Linked DNA regions of Caenorhabditis elegans. The protein of the gene in region 3 purifies or fractionates together with the protein of the main gene of each other region. This does not show direct contact. Each region holds a gene or a part of one and is shown on either strand. Other genes may lie near its edges.

Region 1 (8,226 bases), 1.7 Mb from region 3:
TAATAAATTTTCCAAAGAATCACTAAAGTATATAATCATTCTGTATCTACTTTGATATCAACCAGGAAAAAGCAATCACCTTTATTGCACATTTACACAAATAATTATCACAATCCAAAAAAAGACTTTTTTTGAGCTTTTAATCTTGATATCTTGATATCACAGTTGTTTGTCGCCTTAAATTCTTTATTTTTGAACGTTTTTTTCATCCACATTTTTTTGAAATTTGTGGCCTAAAATGGCCGAATACTACGACGAAGACTATGGTTTTGAAGAATGCAATGGTTTCACGTTATTCAACAGCCTTAACTGTAAGGATATCTATAGGAAATTAGGTATGCTACTAACGGACACAAATGTTTGCTTGCAAATCTTCACAGTCTTCATTAACATTTTACATTTGATCGTTCTATTTCAAAATGAGCTACGATCAGGTGCAATTTATATATTAATGATCGGAATTTGCGTAGCCGATATTATCGGATATTTACTTGATTTTTACACCGCCGCCATACATAGATCTTGGATCACATCAGTCCCATTTTCTTTCGACACAGTATGCTTGCAAGCTGACTTTCTAAGTGTCAGTTTTGCTGATCTTGTCAACATACTCATGCAGATGGCACGTCATGTTACAATTTGGCTGGCGATGATGATGGAATCGATAAGAACGTTATCAGTTTATTTTCCAATGAGCATTTGGATCCAGAAGCTAACAAAACCAAAAACGACTATATTCATAATCTTTTTTGTGTTTTTGTGTTGGACACTGTTTTATTCATCTGAGTACTATTCGGTGACAATTCGATGGTACCCGGATATTTTGGATAAAAGGTGAAATCAACATGTGCATTTACATGTACAGTGCCGGACAAACGTATATGTTCGAAAATTAAAAATAACCTTTTGAAAAATTTGCCTTTTTTAGATGCTTTTCCTATGAAGAGCATGTCAACAAAACCAACTACGTTTTGGTAACTAATACAAGTAGGCTTTCATTTTCAAGTCACCGTAATCAACTGGAGCCATATTTACGCTCAACTCCAGCCATTTTATATCCTATTCTCACAATTAGCCTCCTTATTCAACTAAGAAGCATTCAGATTAAACGACAAAAAGTGAATAAGAATTCAAAAAATTCAAAAAAAAAAAAATGACTGTGTTTGTAATAATTTCTGAGGGTCTTCCATCCATTGTTAACTATGCCCAGTTGAAGTATATTGCATCTGAGCCTGAAGATGACGATGAGATGATTTTTGTATTGTAAGTCTTGTTAAAAGTTTAGTTGGAGCAACATCACAAATCATCAACTCTAATTTTTGTTCCAGAGGAACTTTGGGAATTGCACAAGTTTTCTGTCTAAACTTGCGCTCGTTGAATGGAAGTTCTCATGCTTTTATATGTTTCGCTATGTCCTCGCAGTATAGGGATACTGTGAAGGAAATTTTATGTATCACGCAGCAGAAGAAAGACGAAGTGAGACAAAGGAAAACGAATTTCAGTCTGAGAATGAATGATTTCTTTCAGAAAATATTTTTCGTTTCAACAACTTCGGGCAGCTTGAAGGATAAAAAGAAGAAATTAACAAAGTCTGTCTGAAATTTATAGAGATGTGTTGCTGATGTACGTAACTATTTTGTACTGTATTTTTTAAGAATAAATACATTTAGTGGAAAACTATAGCAGAATGAGCCTACAGTATTCCTAGCGCTCCTTTATTAAAAAATGTTTAATATAATAAGCGTGCAATGCAGTGGATCAGTAATATGTATATCTACACAAGGTTCTGCAAGGTTTCGGCTCTTATAACTGAGAGCCTAAACGATATAAAAACACATAGACCAGCAAATCAACGAACACGTACAAAATTGAAATATGCATATTTTAAGAATAATTAAAGCATAAAAAAAGGGAGACAATTTTTTTTCGATTTCCCACTGGCTCTATTCCACCTACGGAAATGGCGACAACGTTGTTCCTGAAAATCCCGCCTTGCATCTTTTGATTATAATTGCTTCCGGCTTTCGTTCAGCATACATATAATTATTCAACTATACCACTGAACACCGTTGGAATCAGAATAACATGAATTACGTGATTACTCACCTGTCCCTGGAAAATAGCCTATCGAGAAAAGGCAATCAGCCGCCGTCCCACATAATCACACCTATCGTTATTCCCAGACAATAAGCTGTTAAGTGTTGAGCTTTTAATGCTCTTATCACAAGTTGTTATTCGTTGGAATTTCCCTATAAATGCAGATATTTTTAATAGTATCTTTTCATTTTCACAGTTCTCTGAGAAAATATAATGTCCGACGATGAAGAATTTTATTCTGAAGATTGTGCAGGTGAAAACCTATTTACAAGTTTGTCCTGTGGGGATATCTATCGAGCCCTGGGTATAATACTGTCGGACACAAATGTTTTTATGCAATTCTTCACAGTTTTCATTAACATTTTACATTTGATAGTTCTATTTCAAAAAGAGCTACGAACCGGTGCAATTTATATTTTGATGATCGGAATTTGTTTGGCAGATATTATCGGTTATTTACTTGATTTTTTCAACGTTGCCTACGAAAGAACGTGGATTAGCACAATTCCGTTTTACACCAACGTTTATTGCTTACGTTATGATTTGGTTCGAGTTAGTTTTGTAGATTTTGTCAGTATATTTGTGCAAATGGCACGACCAGTTGCGGTTTGGCTGGCAATGATGATGGCGTTGATCAGAACTTTGTCTGTATTTTTTCCCATGAGCATTTGGATTCAGAAGCTTGCGAAAGCAAAAACTGCAATTTTCATGAGTGTAGTAGTGTTCACATTCTGGATACTGTGGTATTCATCCCAATATTTTACTATGACATTACGCTGGTACCCAGATGTCTTGAGTAAGGCGTGAGTTGGCTTTCGAACTTGCACATCTGAAAGTTCATTCATTTCAGTTGCACTGATTACGAAGAACATCGCAACTTGACCCACTACGTTCTGGTAGTTCCAAAAGCTAGCTTCAGCCTAGTCTTTAAGCGTGAAAAACTGGAACCTTTCATTCGCTTTATTCCAGCCATCTTATATCCAATCTTAACAATCACATTACTAGTTCAACTGAGAATTATAAAGAAAAAACGAGAAAGTATGAATAAGAACTTGTTGAATGATCGATCAGATAATACAACAAAGCTCATTCTTTTTATGACTTTATTCTTTATGATATCGGAGGGCTTGGAAGGTATCGGAGATTATATCCTTCAAAAAATTCTAGCTACCCCTAACTATCAAGATTCAATGGTCGACGTAATGTAAGTTTTATATATATTCTTGTGTAATTATCTGCAAAACAGTCCGCATGGGATTGCTGGAAATTTTTTGCTGAAAATGACGTCATGCGTCGTAGCTGAAACTTTTTCAGATCAGCGCTTGGAGTGGCTCAATATTTTTATACAAATCTCCGCACATTAAATGGAATATCTCATGCATTCATATGTTTTGCAATGTCCTCGCAGTATAGGGACACAGTGAAGAGAATGCTCTGTTCCTCGAAAAAGCAGCGACGAGGACAGGTAGATTAAAGATAAATATTTCGATTTAGAAAAAAACTTCTTTTATTTCAGAATATACTGGTCATCTCAACAGTGTCGGTTAGCAGCTCACACAATTCCAGTAGATCAAGGACATGAACGATTTTAATTTTTGCTATATAATACTATGTATTTCTTAGTTTTTTAATTGTTTCAAATTTCTTACAGAAATAACACGTTTATACTCGGTATACTTGGCATTTTTGAAATTATTTTGTCAGTTCGACCGATTTACAGTAGTCTGTTTTGTATCGTAAAAAATTCATTAGAGTTATCGGAACCTAGACTGGTTCAAAAAGCTATTTCGAATCTCACAAGAATGGGTATTTCGAATTACGAGTAATTTGTGATTATGCTTTTAAAAAAGTAGCCGTCATGTGGAATTTTTTTAAAACCCTTGCCCATTGACACTTTACCGTCGCAAAAAAATGCTAGGATGCCTCAAAGCAACTGACATTATTAGTACTAGAAACTTCTTGGCGCAGGAAAAACTACCTAATAGCATCGGGAAAACTGAAATTGCTTTGAATGTTACCCACTTTTTCACGTTGCCAATAAATACGTGATTACTCAACTCCAAATAAAAGTTCAAGGACAAGAAAGCAATTTGGAATTCACGCCAACAATTAATCCTAGACAGCATGTTATTAAGCATTGAGCTTTTAATGGTCATATCCCGAGTTACACTTTTGCATAACATTTTTTTTCAAATTTCCATATCTTGAAGTCAGTCCTTTAACTTTGACTACCTTTTTTGCTTCGATTTGAATACAATGTACTATGATGAAGAATTTTATTCTGAAGATTGTGAATTTACAAACCTTTATGACAATTTTCACTGTGCTGATATATATAAGAAAATAAGCATGGTACTTTCTGATATTAACATTTGCCTGCAGTTCTTTACTGTACTCATCAACATTTTACATTTAATTGTTTTGCTTCAAAAAGAGCTGCGATCTGGTGCAATTTATATATTGATGATTGGAATTTCTGTGGCTGATATCCTTGGTTACTCACTTGATTTTTACAATGTCGGCTTTGAAAGAATGTGGTTTGAATCAATTCCTTTTTATAAGAATACTAATTGCTTACGAGGTGACTTTGTGCAAGTCACCTCCGTTAATATTCTCAACATATTCGTGCAAATGGCACGGCCCACGGCGGTTTGGCTAGCGATGATGATGGCGTTAATAAGAACACTGTCAGTATTTTTTCCGATGAGCAATTGGATCCAGAAGCTTGCAAAAGCTAAGACTGCAATTTTAATAGTATTAATTATGTTTACATTTTGGATACTTTATTATTCGTCACCGTACTTCGAGATGGAATTTCGATGGTATCCGGATATTTTGATTAAGTCGTGAGTTGGATTGATTTGTTTTGTTTGAAAATAGTTCCAGCCATAATTTAATGATATAACAACGGTCGGTCCTTTCCAAGAAGTGGGCAACTCATACCTCCTTGTTTAGTCCTTGTCCTTTTCTTTTTTAGGAGGTATATGAGATTGTAGTAAAATTTTTTTGTTTATTTATTTAATTGATAAATTTATCAAAAGTAGCATTTTTCTTTTCAGTTGCTATAATTACAAAGAACACCTCAATCACACCTACTACGTATTGGTAGTTTCTAGAGCAAAAGACAGAAATATGGATAAGTTTAATAAAATAGATCTCATCTTTCGGTTCGCTTCAGTTATTTTATACCCAACTCTAACTATCACTCTACTTTTGCAATTGAGAACAATCAAGAAAAAAAGACAGAATATGAATAAAAACGCGTTGAATGACCAATCGTATAAAACAAACAAGATGATTCTCATGATGACTATATTTTTCATGACTTCCGAGGGTCTTCCTGTCATTGGATCATATATTCTTGAAAACTTCATCTTGTCTAAACTAATTTACGAAGAGTCGATGACTGATATTGTGTTAGTTTTGTTGAAAATTTATATCGGTAGCCTAATTTATTTCCAGATCACTACTTGGACTTTCACAATATGTTTTCTGGAATCTTCGTACAATGAATGGAATTTCTCATGCTTTCGTATGTTTTGCAATGTCCTCACAGTATAGAGAAACTGTGAAGAAAATGTTATGTATCACGAAAAAGCAAGATAGAGGACAAGTGGGTCTCAAACAGAATACCATATTTTTCAACAATTTTTATTCAGAATATATTGGTTATTTCGACTGCGTCTGTTAGCTCGCAGAGTTCAAAAAGGACAAGGATGAAAAATATTTAAACGTTTTTGCTAGAGTTCTATTTTGAAATATAAACTTTAAGATACTTACCTATTAGTTTTATTATACCATTTTTCTTACCTCGAATCTAGATGAATGAAATAAACTAGCTCTGAATTTCTTGATTTTGTGGCTTGAAAAAACTTGGCCTTCAGTATTTCAGAAAAATGGCGAGAAATTCGAAAGTTCAACTTACAAATTTGTTGACGCGGATTTCCAATGAAATGTTGCTATAGAAAATCTGAACGCCCAAAACCCTTTTAGCCAGTTCAGGAAGTTCTGCCTATGCCCCGGGTATAAGGTATTTGGTTTTTGAATCAATTTTTTTGCAAAATTCGGATAACACTCCATCTGTTTTTTTGTCTCACAATAAAATTGTTGATGGTCTTTGGAACTTGGCTGCTAAGCAACAACAGATTTGGCCATGATATTTGTTTATTCTTGTTTCACACCCACTCTCCTTCTTTGCTGAAAAATTAATAAATGTTTCGTTTTATAGCTCAGAAGAGTTAAATTTTCAAATTAATTCCATGATTTATAATTCTTGTTTTTTTTTTCAAATATCTGAGCAACAAAATTTTGGGGCTGCATAGGAGCCTCCGTCATCAAAGAAGGTTTTCGTAATTTTTGGTGAAAATATGTCCCTTTTGCAAATTGCTACCTTCAAACAACAAAAAATTGATCAACAATTGAACTTTTGAATGTTTTTCAAAATTTCCTCATGGTTAAAAGGTTCAATGTTAATACCACACTATACAAAGTGAACAAGAGTGAGGCAATGACCAACGTTTTTCTATTTTTTTTTTGAAGCGAATCGATTTTTTTGCCGAAATGTGGAGAATTTTCTTTTAGTTGATTACAGTGTTTGCACTAATTTTTTTCAAAAAAAAGAAGATACCAAAATTAAATGTTTTACACATTCAGCTCGTCATTGGAATTAATAACACCAATTTTTAGAAATTTATTCCAAATTTTTTAAAATCACGTTATTCCAGACCCGTGTACTTCAATTAAGCGTAAAATGAAAATAAAACCGGCTAAAGCTCCACTTTTACCAGTTACCTGTTCAGTTTATTCTAAGCGAATTGTGCTGGAATGGAAAAAGCCAACGAGAAGAAGTTTGAAATTTGAAATCAACAGGTGCATAAGGTCAACATTTTCAGATGACATCGAATTCATTGTCACTTACAAAAAGATCACGGATATGGAACCAGTCACTATTAAAAAACCGTCAACGGCTGTTAGCTGTCAGCTTCAAGTATCTGCTCAGGAACTTTACAATGTTGAAATTCTGTGTGTGATGCTAAAAACCCAAAAATTACTTTTAAAATGGTCAAAGGAGATTCAGTCAGGTAGAAGAGAAAATCTGTATATGTCAGTTAAATTTTACTATTTCAGAAAGTATTTCCAACTCTGGAAAACTATCTGAGGTAACAAGCTACATTATCAATAACAACCAGCCCATCAAATGTGCACCACTTCCGGTCAATTTTTCCATCTCCTTGCGGGAAATCAAGTTTCATTGGAATAATAACATGGCACAAAGTGAACCTTATAACATTCAATTTTAAAAACACATAAGAATAGTTTTTCAGACAATACACATTTTGTCATATTTGCAACAAATGTAAAAACCAAAACAAAAAGAACGTTTTCAAGACGGTTCAATGAGAAAACCTTTCGACTTGTCGTACATCCGGGGCAGCGTTATCACGTTGAGATTCATTGTACATCGATGGAAGATGGTAGATTAATTGCAAGCTGGAATAAGCTGATTCAAGCAGGTTAGTAAAAATTGAGAATGTTCAGTTCAAAATTAACCTTAAGATCCGTACTATTTTTTTGAAAATGCTCCTTCGAAATCATTGAATTACCAGTGAACATTACATTTCTATTCACTTTTCGAGATTTTCAGAAAAAGATGGCAATGCAGGACAAAAGGAACATAATAACAATATTAATGAGAAGCAGGCCACTGAAATTGATAAGTTTCTGGTGAATTTTTCAGTTTCCTCGAGAGAAATATTATTGCACTGGAACTATCAAACCTCAGAGAGTAAGATTGACAAACTTCACAACAAAGGTATAATTTGTTTTTTTTTTGCAGAAAACATTTATTTCGTTGTCATTTCAACAAATGTAAAGACGCAAGATACAAAAAAACTAAAACGGGACTTTGATTCACAGAACTGCAGTATTTCGGTGATACCGGGACAGCTTTATTCCGTGGAGATTCAATGTAATTCAACGAACAGTGACACATTGATTAAGAATTGGAAAAGCGTGATTCGGGCAGGTTAGTTATAGAGGGCAGAGATCTGACTTTTCTTAGTAAAACTCGAAGAAGCATGTATACATATTCCTGTAGTATGTATATACGCAGCAATTGGTTCATTTTCA
Region 2 (9,074 bases), about 10 Mb from region 3:
AAAATTTGTAGGGGTCACTCGGAAAAACAATCGGAAAAACAATAAATGAAATTTTGTATGTAATAAAAAAAGCGTGCTTTTAAACCGCTTGTTAGATTTTTTTCAAATTGGGGGTTTGGAATCTTTGAAAACAAGTTTATTTCAAAACCATTCGATGAACCAAGACAGGAGTGCAATCAAAAAGTCTGATAATTTTCACTTCTATTCAAATTTTTAAATTTATGAAATTTTGCCAAAACATAAACTGCCATTTAAGTCATTTTCTGAATACAAACCCGAAATTTGAGGTTCAAAAATAGAACAATGTGTAACCAAACTCTTAAGCCTGCTTTTAATTATGCAGAACTTATCGACTTAGTTATTTTGGTGTAACTTTTGGCAATCGGCAATTTTGGAAATCGCCGCTTGTTTAGTTTTCCGTTACGTCTACTTGTGAATAGGCACAAAACTGACCTAGTTTGTCTCGGAAGCAGACAACATTTATCTGCATGAGAGAACTAGTGCAATCGTATAAAAAGTTTTCAAAAAAATTCGTATAGAAAATTAAGAGAAGCTTGGTTCAGATACATATTCTGCAAGTTTCAAACCTACTTACGATAAAAAATTTTCAAGCTTCTGTTACAACTTCTTCTTTATACATTTCTGCTGCAAACCTTTAATTCCTAAAATCTGACACAAATCCGACAAGTGCCCTCAAAATTCCATTCAAGTACTGGGGACGTAAGATATCAATCGTTGATCGTTAAGCGCAATAAAATCACATAAGACGATCGAGTCTAGTTTGAACGAAATTATTTTCATTTTCGTTAATTAGCAACGTACCGTAGTTCAAGCCAATCAGCTAAGTGGTAGCTTAATTGAAGACCGCCTTTCAAAGAATGTAAGGAATGGTTTATATAACAGTTGCAAAAACATTTTCTTTCGGCTTCATAAAAAATCAATGTATTATTGAAATAATTGGTGGAGTCAAAACAGATTAAAAATGTGACACACTGTTGTAGTTAGTAGTTTCATCTATAGGTTTTATTTCCGAAAAAAACACTATTATACACCAAGAAGTATATTTTTCATTGTTGATAATTTTCATCAAACATAATGGAGATATATATCAAACCGGAAAGTTGAAAGTAAAACTCTAAACATGCTACTAGAATGGAATAATGTTTATGGGCATCAAAAGTTAGAGTGAACTTGAGAATTTTATTTGTGAGTGATGTTAGGGTGATTTGGTTGGCCTGTTAGCCAAATTGCAGGAAACATAAGGCACAAACGCAGTGAGTAATCTACCGTAAATTAGACAACATCTATTTGGGTTGCAGCAGAGATTTTGAGGCTATGCAAGAAAGGATGCTTGGGAATTATTGGAGTTGAATCTTGTAAAAATACTATTTCCACGTTTAGTAATGCATCTTATTGCTCAACCCTGACAATCTTTTGTTTTGCAAAATGATTTGCCACTGACAAAACATGTATGATTTTTCTTCAAAAGTTTTGTAGTTAATTAAATTTAAATATGGTAAAGTGGATGGGGTGCAAGAATATAATGGAATCGTCAAAACCGTGAAATTAAATTGCAATATATTGAAGTAATGGAAATAGAGCAAAGGTTCAGTATCATTCAGTATCATTTGTACATGCCATATGTTCCCTATTATACTTGCACATCCTTGCTGCACTTTGGCAGTTAATATCTTGGTTTCGTTTGCTTTTGTCAGAAAACTGTAAACTGACAAAATACGTGCTAAATAATCTTCTGTATTTCACTAACAGTATATTTGTGATTAATTTTAGTACAACCGAGATATGAGCCGTCAAAGTAAAGCAATTGGGGTACAAATCCAGTAGGGAAAATATGGTAGACTTGTTAACTTGAAATTAGTCTTCAGTTTATGTACTATAGGACTAAACTTATTTGTATTTATTTTTTTTTAACTTGAGGGAATAGTTTTCCTTGACATGCATACTTAATAAAGCGGTGAATTGAATTTATATGAATAACATTGTTGTACTAGTTGTTACTTTGATGCTACTTTTGCAAATTGACAAAATATCATGATATCTCGGAAAATATGCGAACTACATATTTGGCAAATTTATTACTCATCGGGTAAGAAAATCGGAGAAAACATATCTGATGTCTATCAACTGATCTAAATGAATAGAAAAATGATTGTTCCCAATTGAATCAGTCTAGATCAGGAACTTTTGAAACATATATACAGTTATATGCCCTAAAAATGAACAACTTTCCCCGTCAACAGACACAATATTTTTCTCTTTTTCTGGTCTCCATGTCCTATTTCATGAGTCAAGTGTTGTAGAGGGCGACGATAAGACATCGGGCCCAAACGCATTAACGAATCATCTTGCGGGTCGGGAGGCGGGATCTGTCAAAAGTTTGCAGCGTTTGGCAAAGGTTCGAGGCTGGCAATGAAGATGCAAGGATGGTGGACGGCTACCTGCAGATGACAGTCTATCGGAGACGCAGACTAATCAGATGACATTAGTCTTTTGAAAGTTTTGCGGAAGTCCAATTCGGCGAACACAGGTCGCGTGTGAATCGATGCTCGTAGACCGAGTAGCAATTGACAGCTAGAGATTGACAATTTATGAAGAGACGCAGACAGATGTGAACATAGAAACGACAAAAGACATACATGTTTCGAATTAGATGGACAAGATCGGTTGCCTCTATATAAAGTAGCTCAACGTATTTTATCCAAAATTCTAAATCGGTCACTATCAATCTAGCAATTCTAAAATGTTTTTGTTTCTGATTTTCCGCAATTCCATCGAAGTTACAATTTTGACTTAAAATTTTCTATCACAAATCATGTACCAATGTGTGCACTTTTAAAAAAATTGTACAATGTATGTAGCAGTAATCAGAAGGGGATTGTTTTCCTATAAAATTCAAGAAAACCCAAAATTCTCACATTCCGAAAATCTTTTTTTTCTGACTTTTTTCCTTTTTGGTTCATCGAACATAAAAACATTTTGAAACAAATTTTTGAGGTGGTCTTTTCAAGTGGAAAGTAAATTCAAAATCTTTTATCATCAGATCGAATATGAAATTTCTGAGTTTTCTATTTTAAGAACTTTCAGTATCTATAGTATCCCTAGGCACATTTTTAAAACGTTTCATACAACTCCAGCTAAAGTTTTCTGAAAATACGGTTAGCCAAATTCACCACTTCATCCTGATAATTGTCATTATGCTTTTCCTTCCACTACAACTAGACTATCTCTTTTCGGAAGGGGGTGAGATTTTAATTGTTTGTCTGAGATTCCTACGTCTTCGACCAGCGTAACGATCAGAGAACATGCCGACATGACGTCTTCCCCCAGCCGAAAATGTCTCTCTTCTGATCTTGCCTTACATGTGAAGAAAAGTACCAAAAAATTGCTGTGATAACTTTGTGATTTGAGGCTGGGTTTTCAGTCTCAAAATTTGACATGTAGGTACGTTCATTTTTCCTTCAAGTTTCCCTCTTTTTTTTTCTCAAATATAAACCCTTTTCGGTGGTCACTTGATCTTTTCCTCTCCTCTCTACGTTTTTCATTTCTCTAATAACATATCTGGTAGAGATCTCTTAGAATGACAACACCCAATTTGCATATTACAAAATGATGATCACACTTTTTTTCCTTCTCAGAATCTAAAAATGGTACCTGACAAGTCATGCTTGGTTTGCAAAAAAGCTTCAAATGGAATGCATTTCGGTGCACTCACCTGCCGAGCGTGCGCCGCATTCTTTCGAAGGGCTACTGTACTGAAATTACAGTATAAATGTAAGCAGGGGAATTCAAAATGCAATATTGATGGTCGTGGAAGGTGAGTTACTATAGTCTTCAAAATCAGAAAATTCACGTTTTGTTTATAGATATGTCTGCCGGCAGTGTCGTCTGACAAAGTGCAAAGCAATCGGGATGAATGAAGAGAGTATGTTTTTTTTTCCAAAAAAATAAAAACTTGCAAGATTTTCAAGTGCATATCGTGCACATCAAAAAATTTTACATCAAAAGTTTTTGTGAAAAATTGTTGCGAAAATTGGTTTGACAAATTTTCAAAAACTTCATGTGAATAGGTTTTGTGGAATACGCAGAAAAATAATTTTTTCTGAAAAATAAAAAATCCTAACAAAATTTCTAGATCATCTCTATGTTTGATTTTTACTCTTTAGGCTTAGAAAGGATTTTTTCCGAAGTCCGAAAATTACAAAAATATTCCAAAGGTTTTTTTTATAGCTTAAATAATTTCAAAATGAGGGCATTAAATACAAAAGTGCCCTATTTCCTTTTTTTACATAATGTTGAATTTTGAAAATTGCTAAAAATCACCACTCATTTTTGCTAGTGGTGAAATAACTAAATCCTTTCCAAAACACAAATAAAATTTCAATTACTGTCAAAAATTTTGCTGCCATTCTTTTGGAATTTAACCAAAAGCGTTTTTTTCTGCAAATTTTACAGAGTCCAATTATTTTTCTCTTCTTTTTTTCTCTTCTTTTTCTAGTAAAATATACTCATTTTTCAGAAGTTCAATTGGACTATGACCCAACGTACTCGTTTCGCGGTTTGATGGAGGATAGTGGAAGTGTGAGTTTTGTTTTTTAAATTAAAAACAATTATTTTATTTACTACATTTCAGGACGAATTCTCTACGCCAAATGGAAGCCCAGCTCAATCTGATTACAGCCCGACCAACTTGAGCCGGAAGAACTCGGTGGAGTCACCTGGAATTGATCCGAACTTTTTGTTCACCTTCTCGCCAAAAACACCGGATAAGCCGAACATGGTTATCAGTTTTAATGACTTGGTGAAGAAAATTGAAACGTCATTTTCGGTAAGTTGAAGCGAAAAACATTGAAAGTGAAAATTTTGTTATTTTATGTTCAGCATAAAACAAAAGGCGACGATTGTGAACTGACTACTTTGACGTCTGCATTGAAAAAGTTTAGGAAAAATCAAAAAGCTCAAAGTCAAATCTCTTTTCTTGACAAAGTCGAGCTGAAATCTGCTATTGATTGGCTCAATGATCGAATCTATATGTACTCTTGTTGGTTTTCCTCTTCAAAATCTTTAATGTCTCTACCCATGGATCAAAAAATGCAGCTCTTCCGATCTTCTTGGAATGTCGTTAGAACATTTGAGCGCCTAGAAATGTCTGTCAAGATTTTTGAAGAAGGAGTCATTCGAGGAGGAGTGAGAATAGTTTTTAATTATTTTTAAAAATATCAACTGTTTTTCAGTATATACTTATCAATGATGATCTCGCAATGAAATTGGAATCAACTCATATTGACTTTGCCTCGATAACTGATCTCACGAATCAATATTTCAACAAGTGAGTTTTCTGTTTCAAAAACTTTGAAATGCCCACAATTCGCTGATTGAAATTTGTCAATGTTCTGAAAAGCCTACTCAAAGTTGCGTTGGTTTTAGGATCACATTTTGATACAGCATTTTCTTTACTATAAAATTAATTGAAATACTGAAAATTCAACAAAACAATTTTTGCCGCTATGTCGAGAAAGATATAATGATGAAAAATCTTTGAACATTTTTATATTTGTATTTTTGTAATTTTCAGACTATTCGAACCCTTCCTACACCGTTACATAGATGAAGTTGCAAGGCCACTTCTTGATCTCAAGCCAACTACGGAAGAAGTCGTTTTTTGTATGGTTCACCTTATTGGACTTGAAGGTAAAAAAAAAAAACATCAATCAAATTTTTATTAACTTTAATTTTAGAAGGTGATCTTTCTCATGAAACACGAGAAGCTTGCGAACAAATGCGAGCAGAAATTGCTGACCAAATGCACGTTTATTATACAAATCGGACGGATATCAAAATGTATTCTCATCGGCTTCTGATTCTTATGAAACTGGTCAAATCCATGAAGGTTTGCCAAATTTTTTTTTAAGTTTTCTGATTTTCCCCCTATTTTTAGAGAATCTCTCGTGAGAAATCAAAGATCAAGGAGCTCTTCTGGCTTTTTGACATCTTTCATGCCGAAATCTCGGAGCCGTATTTTTTCGAGATGTTTTAGAAAATGATGGGAACCCAAATCAAGAAAATGCTCACACAACCAGTCATGATAATTTCATAATTCATTTTTACGTACGAGTTTTACAATACGAGTTGTTTCTTTTTGAAAATCAAACAAGTTCACATAAAATATTTTTTGATAATATCGTTGACAAGCACACTTCTTGGAATTTGCAAGTGATCTCCATCCACGTCCATAAAATGGATTCGTCCACTCTCATGAAGCTTCTTCAATCCAATACGATCCTCTTTGTACAGGTCGGTTTCGTTCATTGGGAGAATTGTGTCAATATCACCGTCTTTGTAGAACCCGAACCACTGGAATAAATTATTGAGACTTTATAAAATATTTCAGCGTGAGAACCGTGACAGGTGGTACAAAATGTCTGTTGCCTGTGTGGCTCTTTGTACCCATTAGAATGAGAATACTCGGGAAAACTCCGGCCTGCATTAACAAGCTTTTGGCGACCCTCGCCTATAGGCGACTATAGTCTACTTTCGGAAACTGCAAAACAAAAAAAACCACTCACAGATGAATCCTTTGGTACAACCATATGATCTTGATTGAATTTCACCAGAACCAGGTTTTTGAGACTCAATAAGTTGCGTTTGTAAGTCGGGTTGTTATTCTGAAACAAAAATACTTTTTTTTTCAATTATTTTAATGATTACGATTTTCTAACGATTTTGAAATTCAAATGTCAACCGGCAGGAATAATTTTTAGAAAAGAAAATAAAGCACCACCGTTCATTAAACTAATCCCGGCGCATCTTTTTACAGAAAAAGTTATAATTTTCAATCACCAAAAACAGTTTTTTCAAAACAAAAAAGGACCAAAATGTACAGAAATTATTAATTAATACTTCAAAAAAATGTTTTAAAAATCCTTACGTTTTCGTTATTGATATCAGCCAAGAAAATAGAACGTTTTTTATACTCTTCGACTTGATTTGGGTCGTGCCAGTACTGGGCTTGAACAACTCTAGAAAACTGTTAAAAATAATGAAATGAAAGACAAAAAATACTCGTACCGTTTTTGTACAAATGGAAGATAAGCTCCCAAGTCAATGAGACGTCTCACGCCATTGCACATAATATTGTCACCAATGCAGTACGGGGCTCCAAAAACTCCTTGATGTTGACCACCGACTGACACCAAATTCTTCATTGGTGGATTTGGGCATCTTTGGGCAACCGCTCTCCTGAAAAATTGCCGTTCTACAAAATTTTTTAAAATTTAAATTCAATAAACGCGATTTACAAAAACTGTGCTCCTTGTGAGAATCCGATCGCATTATATCCATTCTTTAGTTCAGGATCGTTCTTAATTTTGATACATGCCATATAGACAAGTTCATTGGTATTTGCATAAAATCCATGCTCAATGTCTTTTGTAATACTAGATCCCAATTGAAGACTGTGAACGTAAACTCCAGGAATTTGCTCCTCGAATAGTTTTTTCACAGATCCCATAGACAACGGATTGCAACAACAGTCACCTAAAAATCATAATGTTCGCACTTTTTCAGTAATTAAGTTACAACTAACCCATTCCATGCCACATGACCACTGGAACCTGCTTTGTAGCATTCCGGAATTCTGCTGTAGTTATGGCCAGTAGGCAAAGTAGAAGGGGAAAATATCTCATTCTTCAAGAAAACGAAGAAATGATTAGAGTGGGGTCAAATGAGAATGGACAAAGAGGTCGGCTGTTTGGCTCAACAACTGATAAGATAAGATTAATTGGCTCATTCGGGTTTATTGATTGATCATGCTAGAAGGCAAAACAATTGATAGAGTTTTTCGATTGAATTAATAATGAAGTTTGAAATCCTGAAAATAAAACCAGAATACATGACAATTTTTAGCTTTATAATTTGCTTGGCTGGCTTGAATCGAATAATTGATTGAGTTTTGAATAACCTCGCAAAGAGTTACTAGGCCGTTGTCTATGATTTCAAATCATAACAATGATCCAAATAAACATACGCAGGCAATTCAACAAGTAAATTGGATGTTCAACGAAAACTACGACCCCAAAAGCCTTTTTCATGTTCTAACTTCAGTCTGTAATTTTCTGTTTTAGATCTGTACCCACATGGCTCTACTGAATGTCGTCGATTCTGTTGGATAAAAAGAAACATTTTGAACTAAAAAGTGTATGATGAACCATTCTCGAGCCACACCAATTAATCTATTTGACAACTTACACTTTATTTCGGGCTGGAAAACATATTTTTAACTTTTAAATAATAATTTGTTAACACCCGAATTGATTTGGTCGAGATCATTGAATACATTTTTGCTAATTTCACATGGAAAGATTGTTGGATAAACTGCGACGAGAACCTGGCATGACGCATTTTTAATCGACCGTTAGCCATATGCGCACTGTGAGTTGTGCACATTATCCCTCACGGTCCCATGGCCCCATCTACAATTTCGTCTACAATGTTGCGAGATTTTTGAAGTATACATATGTACATCGCAAATTACCTGTTTCACACCTTTTTTTTGCCGTAAATTCATTGCTTCAAATAACAATGCTTTCATAGAACAATCTGTATTTGCCTCTTGAAAAATAATAAATTTTGCCATTACATGTATTCTCCGTTTTTTCCTTTTTCCTCCACATTTTCTATTGAAATACACAATTAGACGTTCCCGGAAAACACGCATGCAACCAACTTGTAATCGAATCATTTTTTCCTCATTCCTCTCTATTCTCCAACCATTTCACCTACCACGATGCGAGGAGAGTTGAATTTTAATTTTTCTATTTATTATTTGCTGTTGTTGGAATAATTTCCATCGCTATTCGCTCATTTTGTTTCCTTTCTTGTTCGCTCATATTCCTCTCCCTCAAAATCGTCATTTCGAATTCGCACAAGCATTTTCTTTCTATGTTCTCGCGCTCAAATACGTTGTAGCAGAAAAACATATGAAGCAAGACAAAATCATGTGATAATCAGTGACTGCTTGAGAGCACATTGGTATCCACTAGCAACACACTTTCTTC
Region 3 (6,585 bases):
GCGTGGGTGACGCCGTGAGGCCGGCGCGGCGACCGCTGAGGCCGGCGAAGGCGCCTTTGCGGCGACCTCATGGGAGCCCTACTATGAACAGTTATTTTTAACATTGGCAGTTTGAATGTTTTGTGAATCCAATAAATACATTATTTAATCATCAGCGTTACTGTATCATCGTGTTGAAAGTGTTTTGTTCTTCTATAGTCCTCCAGAAGTGAGCAGTATTGAAACACATTCTGAGGATGTCCTAACAAGCAAATATGTTTACTTGTCTTATTGACCAAATGTCTTGAATATTTAGTTTTGTATGCAAAACCTCCTACTGATTTTTCAGAACTTTGTTCGTGAAGTTTGGCCTGAAAATGCAAACCATGGTCAAACACCGAGTTTTAGTTATTTCTGACAGGTGTGGACAAATTTCATGCTGACAGGTGTGGACAATTTCAGCTGCTTTAAGGCTAACTACAAGCTCTAGGAGTCTTGTTGATCTGCATCTTGGCCACGCTGCGTCAAAGGTGTCAAGTATCATAACTTTTGTATCACTTTTCATTAATAACATCGGTTCCTGAAAAGATCTGACAATTAAAAGCTTACTATTTAACGTAAATATGAACTTTGAAAAGTTCAAAGGTAGTTGAGAAAGGTAATGAAACTTACCTTAAATACGGACCTTTTTGAATATTTTCATCATTGTGCAAAAGTGCAACAATGAATTCTCAGCGAGGAGTTCTCTTTGCCTGTCTTCTTGTCGTTGTGGCCAATCGTGAAGCTACTGCTCAACCGGCAGGAAGTGTGGTTGCATTCCGAACAGGAGGATCTGCCGTTGGTGCAAGCCAATGTAAGCACCATTCAAGAGAATACTCTGCCGTCTCTATAATATTTGTTTTCCCAAAGACAATAAGAGAAACGCATACATGCAGACGCACAGAACTTGAATGGCGGCGGTTTTGAAGTTTTTGCGCCGCGCTGAAAATTATGATATGAGCTTTAAGTACTACTCACCCACTCTTGCTTGAGAATAGTTTTTAAAGGTCAGACAAAGACGATCTGTGAGAAAAATGTGAAGCTACTGGTCAAAATGGAGGACCGGATGTAAGAATTCTTAGTGGTGACAGAGGAGGTTCCGTAGGTGAACGTTTGAAAACTACGGAATCCCCAAAAATCGCCACAACAGCGGAGCCAGCAGCACCCAAGTCAGCCGCCGGTCCAATTGTTCTTCTCACCATTTTGGCAGTCATTGTTGCTAATTTGACTGGTTTTTGAATCGAATAAATGCATTATTTAATCACTAGCGTTTTTGTATCACCGTGTGGAATTTATCCTTGTCTTAAAATTATATCCCCCAAGAAAGTGGTATTTGAATAGATTAAGCAGAAATCGTCTAACAGAATCGGCTGAAATTCATGATTTCAGAACTTTGGCTAAAATTATCAAACATTGGTAAACACTGACTAGTATATGGCAACTTAACTACAATTTGTATTAATTTTTCACTAGTAAGAACCACAGGAAATTACTACTTACCTGACCTCATAAAATTGGCATGAAAAATCCAAATATTCCAAATGCTACGGTATTTCGTTTCGATTTTTGCCAATAAGAATGTAAAAGAACTAGGTAGTACCAGATGAATATTATGTAGAAAACTTCTGAATCAATACTCATGAGAATGTATAATTTGGGCTTTTGTCGTATGTAGGCTGACAGGCCATTAAATGGGCTGGGAGAGTTTCACACATTCTCACAAAGTCAAATACTTTTTTACTTTTCAAATTTCTCGTAAACTTGACCTTTGCAAAGTACAAAGATTGTTGAGAAAGTTCATCTTATTCTTATATATAGAGAACTTTTTGAATTTTCATCATTGCACAAAAGTGCAATAATGAATCCTCAGCGAGGAGTTCTTTTTGTCTGCTTCCTCGTCATCTTGGCCAATCGTGAAGCTACTGCGCAAACTCCAAAACCGTCGGCGAGAGGATAGAGCGTACATCTGCCATTGGAGTTTCAGCACCACCAGCAGAAATAATAAAGCCCAGGGATGTCAATGGTGTCATTCCATCAGAGTCAGCTGAAGTGATAAAAAGAGCCATTCCACCACAGTATCTTCCGCAGAACGATGTCTTGAACGCAACAATGGCATCACCCAATTCAGCCACCGGCCCAATTGCTCTCTTTGTCATTGTGGCTGTTATGTTAACATTGGTGATTTGAATGGTTTTAAATTGAATAAATACATTATTTAATCACTAGCGTCACCACTAGTTTAACTACTAGCGTAGTAATTGTCAAAACGCATTATGTTTCCGGTTGCTCTCTGGTTTTCTACAAGATCAATTTTTATTAACAAAAAAACAATCAGCGTGAAGTTTTCATGATAGGTCTCTACTCCGAAACAATCTTGACGATGCCTCCGCAAGTCTAACTGTACTCCTAGATTCTGAAATTTTCGGATGTTCCAATTTGAACTTGTGTGTTACTCACCCTTGCAAATAATCTTCCAAATCATCTTTTTAGCAGTTTTCCGGTAGTGATGGTGCACTGTAATAACTGCAACACTTTGTGCAACCCCGTGAAATGCAGCGCAGACTATTGATAAGTTCATCATTTCTTGAGAGTAATATCCGAACGAATAAGCAATTGCTAAAATGATCAGTGGCCCTGATATAAACATCAATGGAATACATGTTTGTAATAGGATACCAATCAAAAATGCCTTTTGGTTCTTCTGAGTTTCTTTTGAAACTGATTTCGACGGAGCTATATAAAGATAGTAAACCGCGCAAAAAGCATGGAATATTATATTTCCAGCTGTTTGTAAAATCATTGATGGAAGGAAAATAAAGCTTATAAATTGGATAACGTTTTGATCAGTAAGTAGTATGGTAACTGGAAATTCGAAAAACTCCGTTGTGGGACATGGGTAACGAGTTAATGCATGAAGTTTGGCAGCTTCTTGATCAGCAGGATTTGTCAAAAAGAAAAGAAGACAGCTGCAGTTGTAGAAAAAAACTATTGCATGGTAGAGGAGTCGAGTGGACTTTCGAGTTATTTTAAACCGATTTTGTGGTAGGGAACTGCTACGGATTTCGAAAAGATACACATAAGAGCATACGGCACCTGAAGGACACATATTTACGTTTTTTGTTCAATGATTGTTTGAAAATTTTATTGTTTACTACAAAACTATGAAATACATGGGTAAAACGAAGATGGCACAAAAGCGATGAAATAGAGGGTCATCTGGCAAATGAAACAATTTCATCAGTTTTTTACACTCGAAATATAGAAACTGCGAGGCGTGCACGCACAAATCCTAAACCTCAAGCCCGACTTTTTTTTTTCGGAAAATCAGCGGGTAAATGCCGAAATCGGGACCGAAACCAATATCAGGCGCCGACATCTCACGACTTCCGCGCCCACCCCTAAATTATCCGAAAAGGTCGGTGCCTCAATTTGAGGATTTGTGCGCACATACGCCATGCAGTCTCTTTATTTTGATTATATCTCTGTTTGGAATCAAAGGAGTTTCTTTAGACTGAAATTATTTTAAGCCTGGAAGATGATTGAAACTTAAAAAGTCATGCGCATTGAACCGGTGATGGTCCAATCAGCGGTTCATGTCTAATAGGCATACACGGCGTGTAAATTGGTACCTCTGGCCTAGAGAAAAACTTGAAAAACAAACGTACGCAATTATGAAAACGCGCGTGGTGTTTGCGGACTTGACTACTGTAGTCCACATAAATTTTAGCAATTAATACTTCCCGGTTTCGTTTTATATGAAAATATCCTTGAATTCAAGCAAAAAACGCATTATCTTTTTGAGAAAGAATAAAAGAAACACTAAAATTACATTAAATTCAAATACAAAAAAAGTGACCTACGCAGAAAACGAAACAAGGCAGTTTGAAGCTGCATTAATGAACAGCAATTTTGAGTGTAAACTTGTGATGGTGGGTATACATTTTATGTACTTAAATTGTTTAAAACCCTTCATTTAGTCAATTGGTGAAATTTCAAAAACTTTGTGAATCTAGTTTTTGAAAAAATTTCAAATTGGTGCCAATTTCACTGATTTTTTGTGAATTTCCGAGCTAAAATTGAAAAATTCAATGTGAACTTGTGACGGTGGGTAAGGTTTTTATGCACATAATTTGTTTGAAATAGTCTACCAAGTGAACTGGTGAAATTTCAAAAACTTTGTGGACCTAGTTTTTGAAAAAAGTTCAAAAATGTGCCATTTTTGTCGAATTTTAGTGGTTTTCGGAGCTAAATAGAAAAATTCAATAGGAACTTGTGACGGTGGGTATGAATTTTTCGCACATAATTTGATTATAGTAGTTTACTGAGTAATCTGGTGAAATTTCAGAAAATTTGTGGATCTAGTTTTTGAAAAAAGTTCAAAAATGTGCCAGTTTTGACGCATTTTCCTAATAATTGCCTAATAAATCAAATTTCTACCTTTATTTAGGAAAATAATCGTGTTTAATGTAATTTTTTCATTTTAAAAAGAATTTTTGTGCATATTTTTGTAGTTTTGATCCATTATAATGTCTCATTCATCGATGTTCAATGGCATTAAACATTTAAATTCGAATTTCGCGCACTTTGCAGCGGCCATGGCCTAGGATTCTCACTTTTGTCTTTTCGCTAGGCCAGATGTCCCAATTTACACGCCGTGGCATAGCCTCCAAGTTATCCCATGTTTAATCAAATGATAAAACTAACCGTTTCCTATTATAAGGCCAACAAACAGCTGTATGGTGAATGGTATTCCGAACCAACTTAGTGTTCCCAGTCCGAAAATGCCAGCAACTGGGAGGAAAACATAGGGTGTACCTCCACTGCACAGCCCAATATCTAACCCAGTACAAAGTGAGTGATTCAGTAACAACGGCCATGAAACACTTTTCATTACTGTCGGCGTTTTTTTAATGATTATGTAGAATGCGAGAATTTGAAGTGGGAAAGAAATTAGCTGCATGGCATGGGTTGGATAGGCAACTCCTTTCCATGAAGCCCAAAAACTATACTCGACGTTACACGTCAAATAGGTTGTCGCATAATAATCCTGCACAGACATTGAGTTAGATTTTTTCTCAAATATTTGATACGTTTGATATCTTGAAGCAGTAATTTGATAAGAATACAAGCCCTTGTTCCAAAACCGGCAGCTGAAAAGAATAATTGCAAACCAAATTTAATTAAAATGCAGAGTTGACCTGATTTCACTTCCCTCCTGTCTATGATTCACTTTCCCAGCAAACACGCGTTTTCTCTTGTTTCAGCTGTAAAGAATGACATCAATTATAAAATTGGGAAAACATTTCACGCCAATCAACTAAAATCGAAGAACTCAATCGTTTACTCAATTTTTAAATAGTAATTATCATGTTCACTTTAATGTTCCAATTAATCAACTTTTGCCGGTGATAATTGCTTTTCTTGTTTGTACTTTATTCGTAACTTTTTGATTATTCTTCCTATGTACTGTGTATTTATTTTTCTGTCTTTATACCATACTGCTTTTATTCCATCACGATCCCAATCGTAATAAATCAAATCAAATCAAATCAAATGATCCAATTCTCAATCCGTCAATTTTTTTGATTCTCTATAAATTTTGAGGCAATATTATTCACCGCGAGGATGATAAAGGATAAAGGAAAAAAACTCGCTTAAAAACGGGTATATAAATCTTTTCTTTATTGTACTTTAATATTATGTCTAGTCTTAGAATTGTTTCTTATTTTGTATTGATAGCTTCCCTAGATGCTTGCATCCGTACGATTCCACCGGAAGATGTAGGATTTTCTGTGGATCCGACTGAAATTCCCGTGGGTCCAACAGTTCAACCGACAGAACCAACCGTAACAACCCCAAGAGAAATCACACATCCAACGGATGCTCCAACAAATGCTCCAACAGATGCTCCAACTGATGCACCAACTGAGCCACCACCTCCACCAATGATGAGTTTTTTCTCAAAATAAATTTGGCAATTCAACTCGCAAAGTGTCAGCTGCTAGCAAAATAAAACAAATCCTTCTCTAGCCATGCGTAAACTGTGTCGACATTTCAACAATCTTGTCACCAGCACAAGCTGATGCAATTTTTGATTCGTAAATCAAATTTACTCCCAAAACCATTAAGACTCTGCACATTTAGGGTACCTTCCACAAACACCGATGGGTGCACAGTGGCGACAGCTACGTGTCGTGCAGCTCCCGGAAATGACAAGTGTGGAGTTCTGAACATTTACGTAAGAAGTTTTTCTCCCAATCATAGAAATTACTTGAAAGTTTAAGTCACCCACTGCGTCGGTAGCAAAACAGCCTGCACCTATGGCAACATCAACGACAGCTTACTTAGAGTGCCAGCCCGATGGAACTTGGTCTGGTGGTAATATGGCTGATGCGTACACAGTGTAGGTGTCCTGTTCGATGATTTTACCTAACGAAGAAGTTTTCAGAACAAATATTCCATCGTTGTTCTGTGACAGTGCTTGTTCTGCAAGTGGCTAGGTAGTACTATCTTTGCCCAGTTAGGAATTGTTTTTGGTCGTTCCAAAAACACTATTTGACTTAACAA
Region 4 (7,981 bases), on a different chromosome or scaffold from region 3:
ACGTTTCGACTAAAAGTTCATTGATCATATCCGTCTGAAACTTTCAACCAATTAATATTAACAATCTATGCTGTCTGTCCTTTTTCCTGTTTCCTCTACCAATTTCCTTCCTATTTTTCTTCTCTTCATCCACCTCCACATTCTCTTGTTTTATTTCAGCTGTCAACCCAATTATGTCCTTTTTTCACCTACTTTTCCGATTCCCACCGTGACTTTTTTCTGATTCTTCGCCTTTTCTTCGCTTCTTTACTTTCTAATTTTCGATCCCTCATAGTCCAAAAAACGCACCAAAAAAGTTCACGACCGTTGACCAGAAATGAGAAGCGAGCTGAGCTAAAAAAAGGAGATATGATGCCCTCGTAAAATTCAATTTGTTTGTGAAAACTTTCGGACAAACCTTCCAATTCTTATTCCTTTTTTCTTGCGATCTTCAAAAAACTCTGAGAAAAGTTAAAAGACCGGATGCTCAAAATGATTCAAATCTGACATTTGAAGTGGGGTTTCAAAATGAGAAAATGTACATCTACTTTGAAATTTGTCATTTTGTAATATTTTTCTAAGAAATTCAAATTGACATGCATTTTTCAACATTTTAATTTCTAAAAATAAGCACTTGTATGACTGGTATATCCGAAAAGAAAAATGATAGAAACTCGCAGATGATTTTTTGTCGCAATAATAAGAGGCCCGATTAGATCTGACTTTTAGAAGACAGGCACGTTTTCAGGCCTTGTGCTCCTTCCTTCTATCTACGCATGTACCTGAGCCTAAGCCTAAGTCTAAGCTTACGCTTTAAGCCAAAAATCTGGAAATCCCAGAAGATCAAAAAAGTGTTCCAAGAAGAAATCAAATTTGATTTGGCGACATCTCTGTCAACTATTCTCGTTACCAGAAATAAACAAAACACGATAATTGACTGCACTGAAAGAGAAAAGAAAGATATATCGAAAATAATTTAGTCTGTGGGGATTCTGTCTAGAGCTCCAAGTTGGTGTTGTTTCTCAATGTGATTTATTAGTACCACAGATGATTTTAATGTATTTTTGTGACCCTTTCTTCATTTAAAGTTTTCAAATATGAGAAATATTTGGCTACCTTTTATAAAATGGAAAGACTAATTTCTTATTCCGAACTATCGTTTCATTCTCGTTCCATTGTTTAAAGATTTCACAGTTTTACCCGACTCTAGTTTGTTTTCTTTTTTTACCAGTTTTCAGATTCTGAGAGATCTGATTTATTTTCAACACCCTTTTGCATTTACAAATACTTTTTTGGATTGAAAGTGATGTAGATCACCAATGTGCAAGTCGAGACAAGTCTGGTGGTCAATGGAACCCTTGAATTTTTGATTAATCCAAGCGGTAACTCCACTCTTTTCTGAGCCAAAAAATGACTTTTAGAAGGAAAAATAAGGCAGAATGTCAATCAAATGAAGTACATGTTCCACTCATTTCCCATACTCATTCCTCGTTTCCAAAACTTTTTTGTCCCAGCAAAAACCCCATTATTTGGATGCATTCACCCATAATGTCTGCTAAAGTTTTAGTTTAGATGGGTTCAGGCTTGTATCTATGAAATGACGTGGATTCTTTTGGAAAATTTATTGAAAAGCTGAAGCAGACGCCTGTATTATAAAATTATATTCTAACTAATTGGAAACTTTCGAACGCTCTTCTGTGCCTTTAAAAAATACAACACTAGCAGACAGTGAACAAGATCGGATATTTGCGCTGTGCTAGAAAGGTGCTAGAGTCAGCTCACAATGAACATTTGACAAATTTCGTAGCAACTCTGGCCTGCAGCCATACTTGAAACTCACAAAGTAAGTTCAAAATTTTTGAAAAATGGCAACTTACCAAAACTTCCGATGTAAAAAAAAATTGGAACAATTATTATGTTTTTTTCATTTAAAATCTATGTCCTGGGTAAAGCTGAACCGAATCTTTCTTTTATTTACAAGTCTATATTTACCCAGATGCGGATCATATTTACCCATTCATTGGAACAGAACACTATTTCATTTTCTATCTTTTCTCCCGCTTTTATTTTCATTCTCATCGTTTCCATAAAGATTCCTTCAATGTTTATTATTAAAGAATCACGAGATTTTTTCTTTTTATTTTCTCATTTTGTTCTCACCAATATTTGCATTTTCTTATTTTGTATGTGCCTTTTTCTCAATACGAATTGGTTTTTTTTGCAAGATATATGCAACATGGAGCAATAAGATTCTCATGAGCTCCACTGAAATCGAGCTAATTTCGAAGAGCAACGACTAAGATGAAGTGGATAAGACTAAGAGAATAGAGATTTGTAGGCAAAAAATAAATTGCAGAACATATTCAATATTTTGGCGTTTGTAAACCATTTTTCAAAAATATTTTGGCATTTGAAATTTTTCTTACATACCGTACTGTCTCTTAGACTTGCACCTCTATCGCTTTAACTTGATAGCTCTCCGTTCTCTTCGATTTTATAAAATATTGTCAACTTACAAAGTATGTGCAAAATATTTTTCTACAAATTTTCAGTTACAATTTTCCTGATAAAACTTGAGAAAACCGAGATATAAACCGATAAAGTGAAGCAAGTCTGATAGGGAAATACGGCAATTTCCACTGGTAATTTTTGCAATTGTAAGAGTTCAAAAAAGGGTTTTCTAATTCCTATAATTACATTGAACTAATAAAATTGTAGGAATATCATATAAGTTTTTGGAAACCCCATACGGCGTGCAAGGGACGCCTCTTTCCCGCCTCATCACATTGTCAGTGACCTTCTATGTATATATTTTTGTGCCATTTTTCATAGTATCTTCATTTTTCAAATATAGAGGGCGTTTACCGGGCAAATGGCAAAAAATGGGCGTTTCTGGAATATCGGAAATAAATGGTATACTGTAGTTATAAGTATAAATATGTGTACAATCCAAGTCCTCCTTCTTCAACATTTTATTATTATAAAACCTTTTTTTGTTATTGAGATTTCCCCTATCAGACATTTTAATCTTTGAAATTTCGAGTTATTTATCCATTTTCTCACAATCACAAACTTTCACAACTTTTGATTCCTAAGTCTTATGACAAAAATCATTGGGGCGTGTCTAAAAGATTTTGAAAACTGGGCGTGGCTTTGGAGTCCAAAAAGATGGTGTTTTGGTGTCCCAATAAACCCCCGCAAAACTCAACAAGAACACTTTCCTTCTCATGACTTTTCCCTCTTTGTTTGCATTCTTCCATCATTTTTTTGAGTCTCATCATCATTTCAATTCAAAAGTGCTCAAAGTTCAGGTGCTCAGTGAAACTTTGCGGGGCTCACAGGTCTCCAATTCCAATTTCCGCATAAATTTCATGTCATTTTCATCGTCGTCGTCTTCATTCAGTTGTCACTCATATACATTTATTTATTCATTAATTCATTCCGTCATTCATTCGTGCATCTCCTTTTTTTATCATTTATTTTTCACTTGTTCCCCTCGTTTTCTACTGAACATTATTTCAGCTAAAATGGACTCACTGAAAGAAGCTGAAATTCGTGAAGTATTTCGAGAGTTTGATAAAAATGGAGATGGAAGAATTACAAGACAAGAGTTGGAGGTTTGTTGTTATAATTTGTGAATTTTCGGACAAATATAAGTTTTACAGGTTGCTCTTCTTCAATTGGGAGAAAAAGCGAGCAATTCGAAGATTGAGACAATGATTGAGCAAGCTGATTTAGATGGTACGATCAAACTTCTATTCATCCTATTTTCCGTATATACTGACCATATTCTTGAATACATTCTAGTTCTTGCCAACAAAAAGTGGTATTTTCTTAAAATCTAATTTGAAACAATTGAGATTTTTTGTAAATCAAATATAGCATTTTCGCAACAAAAAACTGGATTTCAAAATCAGGTCCTGGCACCAGCGAAGCTTCTGCTACCGTACTCGTGATCTCTTGTGTTGTAATTCCCTCTTGATATTTGACGATTTTTCTTTATAATTTCACAATTAACAAGAGTTGAAAATGAAACACATGTTGGGGAAAAATGTGAAATTGCAAAATATCTTAAAGTTGTGAGCCTAGCTTTTTCAGTTACCGTACTCGCGACATACTTTACTTCGCAATTTCTATTGAAGAATTTTTAATAATTTCTCAAAAAATATATGAGCTCACATCAAGGGCTTTAATGCAAAAAAGAGTCTTTGGCTACTGTAGCGAAATACAGTATTCTCTCTATTTCTAGTGTACTAACAAGATTTCCGCATGAATAAGCTTCCACACCACTATAACTTCAAAAATTTCAAACAGCTGGTACATTTTGTGTTCAAAAATAGAACTAACGCGTGTGATTTCCGGAAATTTCCAACTTTCCCGTATTTTTACCAGAAAAAAAAATGAAAAGTACTGAGTGCACGATAACAGGAAGCAGAATATGTAGGTGGAGATGATGATGAATTGAAGCGGAATGCAACTTTTTTACGCTTTAGAACTTTTTGACGGACGAAACCTAACGTGTCTATGGATAATTTAAACTCATGGTGTGTTTTGAGTATTGGGAAGAAAAAGTTGAATACTTTCAGGAAATGGATGTATTGATATAGATGAGTTTTTGAATGTACTCCGACGACAAATCTGTGATCCGAAAGAAGAACGAGAATTGAGAGATGTTTTTAATGTGAGCACATTGATTTTGCATCTAACTAATAAACCTGTTTTGTTTCAGGTGTTCGATAAAAATGGAGACGGCGTGATTTCCATCGATGATTTAATTTTTGTTATGTGCCAATTGGGAGAGAAGTTAACTGAAACTGAAGCGAAAGAAATGATAAAACAAGGAGATCTAGATCATGACGGAATGATCGATTTTCAAGGTTGGAATTGATTTAATCTATATTATCTATATTTTGTTGATATTACAGAGTTCGTCAATATCATTAAGGGCCAATAATCAAAAGAATCAAAAACTATCTCATCAATGCTTTTCCATTCCTTCGCACAGCTGATCTACATCTCATTTTTCTATCGTTTAATTTTTGTGTACATATTTATAATTATTGATTAAAAATTAAAACAACAACATTTTATTTAATACAATAACAAAAACAAGTAGTATACTTCGAACAATTGAAAGATCATCATGAAACTCAATAGACTAAACTCTACCGTTGGTTAATTTTTTACCGGTGTGATGTATGGTTGTAAAACTTGATTGAAACAATTGTATATTCTATTTTCTATTCTATTATATTAATGGCCAAATTCAACATCCAAATGTAGCCACGCGTGCCGTAAGATCCTTGATACTTGTTTGATGATATTTTGATAGATGAACGGCGAATCGATCTCGTGCGTGAAACTTTTGATTGCATGTATGACAGGAATATGGTTTGATACCTAAACATTAATTATTTTTTCAGATATTAAACTTTTAGATTGTAAGTATTTACCATCATGAACATTAAAGTGATCGTGAAGTGCCTGTTCTGTTCGAAAAGTTTTTCCACAAGTAGTCTCATCACCATCTTTTGACTTTCGATCGCATTTGTACTGTTCTTGGTGTTTTGGTCCCGTGGATTTAACTACTTTCTGCGAATTTTCCGAATGATATACTCTGACATGCTTTCGAAGATTGTCTCTTAATGTAAATGTTTTAAGGCATATTTCGCAGCTGAAGTCTCCATGTACTCGACTTCTACTGTGCTTTCTTATTTTATTCGGAGGTTCAGTTGTCCCGAATTCAATTTCCTCATCGATATCGTTTATATTTTCCGATAAATCATTAGTAACTTCAGACACAGAATCACGTTCAAATTGACTAGAAGTTCCTGTGATTGTTGATAGTGTGGTTTCAGTGTTAGCATCATTCCATTCATCATTTTGAAGTGCTGGTGTCGATTGTGAAGAAGATGGTATATTTTGAATCAAGGATGAACATGTCGATAGATGCTCGCTTACACTACCGGATCCCAAATAAACACCACATCCTAAAGTGCATAGAGCTGGCTCACGTTCTTCATGAATTCTGAAATAGGTAAAATTATTCAAAAAACCGTTTTCATTTAAAAAAAATAATTTATAATCGAATTTTTACAACCTACCTTTGAACATGATCCTCAAGATCTTTCTGTTGTTGTTCAGGATCATCATCTGAAACATCAGGTTTGTATTCACATAGAGGGCACTTGTTGAAAGATAGTTTAGATCGAGTTTGTTCGGTAGACAATGGAATAGACGTGTGATATTCTTTGATGTGAGCTCTGAAATTGTATTAAAATGTATTTTTTATTAATCGATGAAACCCACTTGAGCCGATTTTTTGCTACTTTGATACAACAGCCAGTAATTGTACACGGAATACCATCAACATGGTTTTGTTCGAAGTGACGGCGAATGAATGCTGGTTTCTGAAATTCCAATATCAGAAGATGAACAACTCGATAATTCACACCTCATTAGTGTACGAGCACTGTGGACACTTATGAGAAGCCTTCGAATGATGTAGTTTGTGATGTGCTCTCAATTCACCATATGTGCCAAATTTGGTAATTGTCGAGCATTCAAGGCATTGGTAACGATTAGCTGAAAAAATAATTATCTAAATTACTAAATAAGAATGCTGAAACATACAATCATGAATTTTTATATGTTCTCTCAGCTTGTTGGGATATCGAAACTTTTTCTCACAGAACGGACATCTGTAAAAATGTTCGCATTTCATTTATATAAAAATATTCCACATACGGATGGAACTCGTCTTTCGTTTTTCCTCTTTTTCGTTTTCTGCTCGCAATTTCTTCTTTTTCAACTTCTTCAACTTCTTCAATGCATACTTTCGAATTGCTTCTCTCACTGTTGCCATCTTCTTCTCGGTATTCATCATCAGAGTCTTCATCAGAAGACGATGACGATGAAGATGGTGGTTCAAACGAAGATATCATCTGAATTTTGGATTTTGGATAACAGTAAAAATAATTTTTCATAGATAGACTAGGTTATAAGACCTGTTTTAATTAGAGAAAAATAAAGAAAACAATTAAGGAAATGTTAAACATTTATAGATAGCGTAATTTTTAAATCCTAGAACAAATTATCAAATATATAAAAATCAAATAATGAGTGAAAAATGACATGGAAATTATAAATTCTGAACTATGAGAAGCCAGCGTGCCTCCGCTATGTTGGAGTTCTGGAAAACGTAGCTTCAGAACAATAAGACATCTCATTGAGGGACACGCTGACTAAATAAACATGAAAAAGCATCGCACAGAAAAATCGAAATAATATACCATAATTAACCACGTATCACACCGTAACAAGCAATAAGCAAATAAAAATAACAAGTCTCTTCATGACTTCTTCACAACAATCGTCTTCGGATCTTCACCCTCATTGTCGGATTCAGATTCGGATTCCGAACTGGAGTCAGATTCCGAGTCAGAATCAGAGTCAGGGCCGCACTGTTCAGGTGGTAGGAGAATGAGTGGCTGGTTCTGATGAGAAGCCTAAAAATTATATTTCTAGCTGAGAACATTTTGAATGAACATACGTGTGGCTGGAGATCAACATCATCTTCGTCATCACTGTCCACGAGTGCTTGCGGGGGCACCAGGTTATACTTTATAGAAGCAGCAATGCGATCCTCTTCAGTTTGGATTGGAACAATGACGGGAGACTGACGTTTGAGGTGAAGCGCTGCGAGCTCCTGAAAATGAAGTTTTATAAATTAATCATAAAATTAAAACCCTCACGTCTTTCGGTTTCCATCTCGTTTCGAGCCAATTCGGATTTCGAACGAAGAATGACATCATACGACTAGCACAAAGGTTCCACTCATGAATCTGAGCTTCTGATATGTTTTGAGTGACGTTGGCTCTTTCTGTGTGCTCTACATTGTGCAGGAATGCAGTGAGTTGCGCGAATTGTTCAGGTACTGTAATTTCAGAATTAGAAAGATTACATTTTAAATTTTAAAATAAACTAACAAATGAAGGTGGGA

The links.
Region 1: the proteins of F49H6.17 (region 3) and srw-16 fractionate together in Caenorhabditis elegans (co-fractionation; one large-scale study listed by BioGRID). This does not show direct contact.
Region 2: the proteins of F49H6.17 (region 3) and nhr-37 fractionate together in Caenorhabditis elegans (co-fractionation; one large-scale study listed by BioGRID). This does not show direct contact.
Region 4: the proteins of F49H6.17 (region 3) and cal-8 fractionate together in Caenorhabditis elegans (co-fractionation; one large-scale study listed by BioGRID). This does not show direct contact.

What each region holds. Positions count from the first base shown.
Region 1 is NC_003283.11:15,270,985-15,279,210, reverse strand, and holds srw-16 (G-protein coupled receptors family 1 profile domain-containing protein), read left to right. Parts: upstream 1-4,353; coding exon 4,354-4,943; intron 4,944-5,156; coding exon 5,157-5,513; intron 5,514-5,559; coding exon 5,560-5,710; intron 5,711-5,756; coding exon 5,757-5,828; downstream 5,829-8,226. Other genes in the region: srw-17 (G-protein coupled receptors family 1 profile domain-containing protein), read left to right, coding at 2,311-2,900, 2,948-3,301, 3,412-3,562, 3,614-3,679; T10H4.4 (Phytanoyl-CoA hydroxylase-interacting protein-like C-terminal domain-containing protein), read left to right, coding at 6,848-6,944, 6,990-7,178, 7,225-7,371, 7,422-7,610, 7,742-7,882, 7,934-8,122.
Region 2 is NC_003283.11:6,618,603-6,627,676, forward strand, and holds nhr-37 (Nuclear Hormone Receptor family), read left to right. Parts: upstream 1-3,591; 5' UTR 3,592-3,665; coding exon 3,666-3,835; intron 3,836-3,884; coding exon 3,885-3,943; intron 3,944-4,537; coding exon 4,538-4,599; intron 4,600-4,651; coding exon 4,652-4,846; exon of another isoform or gene 4,847-4,853; intron 4,854-4,899; coding exon 4,900-5,205; intron 5,206-5,252; coding exon 5,253-5,347; intron 5,348-5,593; coding exon 5,594-5,709; intron 5,710-5,756; coding exon 5,757-5,908; intron 5,909-5,956; coding exon 5,957-6,055; 3' UTR 6,056-6,174; downstream 6,175-9,074. Other genes in the region: ppt-1 (Palmitoyl-protein thioesterase 1), read right to left, coding at 6,175-6,372, 6,585-6,683, 6,947-7,037, 7,087-7,257, 7,317-7,554, 7,604-7,703.
Region 3 is NC_003283.11:17,015,579-17,022,163, reverse strand, and holds F49H6.17 (Acyl-CoA thioesterase), read right to left. Parts: upstream 2,175-6,585; coding exon 1,938-2,174; downstream 1-1,937. Other genes in the region: F49H6.12 (MS Related Protein), read left to right, coding at 703-832, 1,061-1,257; srh-97 (Serpentine Receptor, class H), read right to left, coding at 2,364-2,431, 2,476-3,111, 4,723-5,077.
Region 4 is NC_003280.10:5,477,562-5,485,542, reverse strand, and holds cal-8 (EF-hand domain-containing protein), read left to right. Parts: upstream 1-3,501; 5' UTR 3,502-3,506; coding exon 3,507-3,596; intron 3,597-3,644; coding exon 3,645-3,720; intron 3,721-4,565; coding exon 4,566-4,660; intron 4,661-4,708; coding exon 4,709-4,856; intron 4,857-4,904; coding exon 4,905-4,933; 3' UTR 4,934-5,059; downstream 5,060-7,981. Other genes in the region: Putative zinc finger protein F56D1.1, read right to left, coding at 5,246-5,379, 5,433-6,007, 6,084-6,242, 6,289-6,389, 6,434-6,564, 6,613-6,680, 6,727-6,923; ilcr-2 (Interleukin cytokine receptor-related protein 2), read right to left, coding at 7,332-7,487, 7,532-7,687, 7,734-7,915, 7,968-7,981.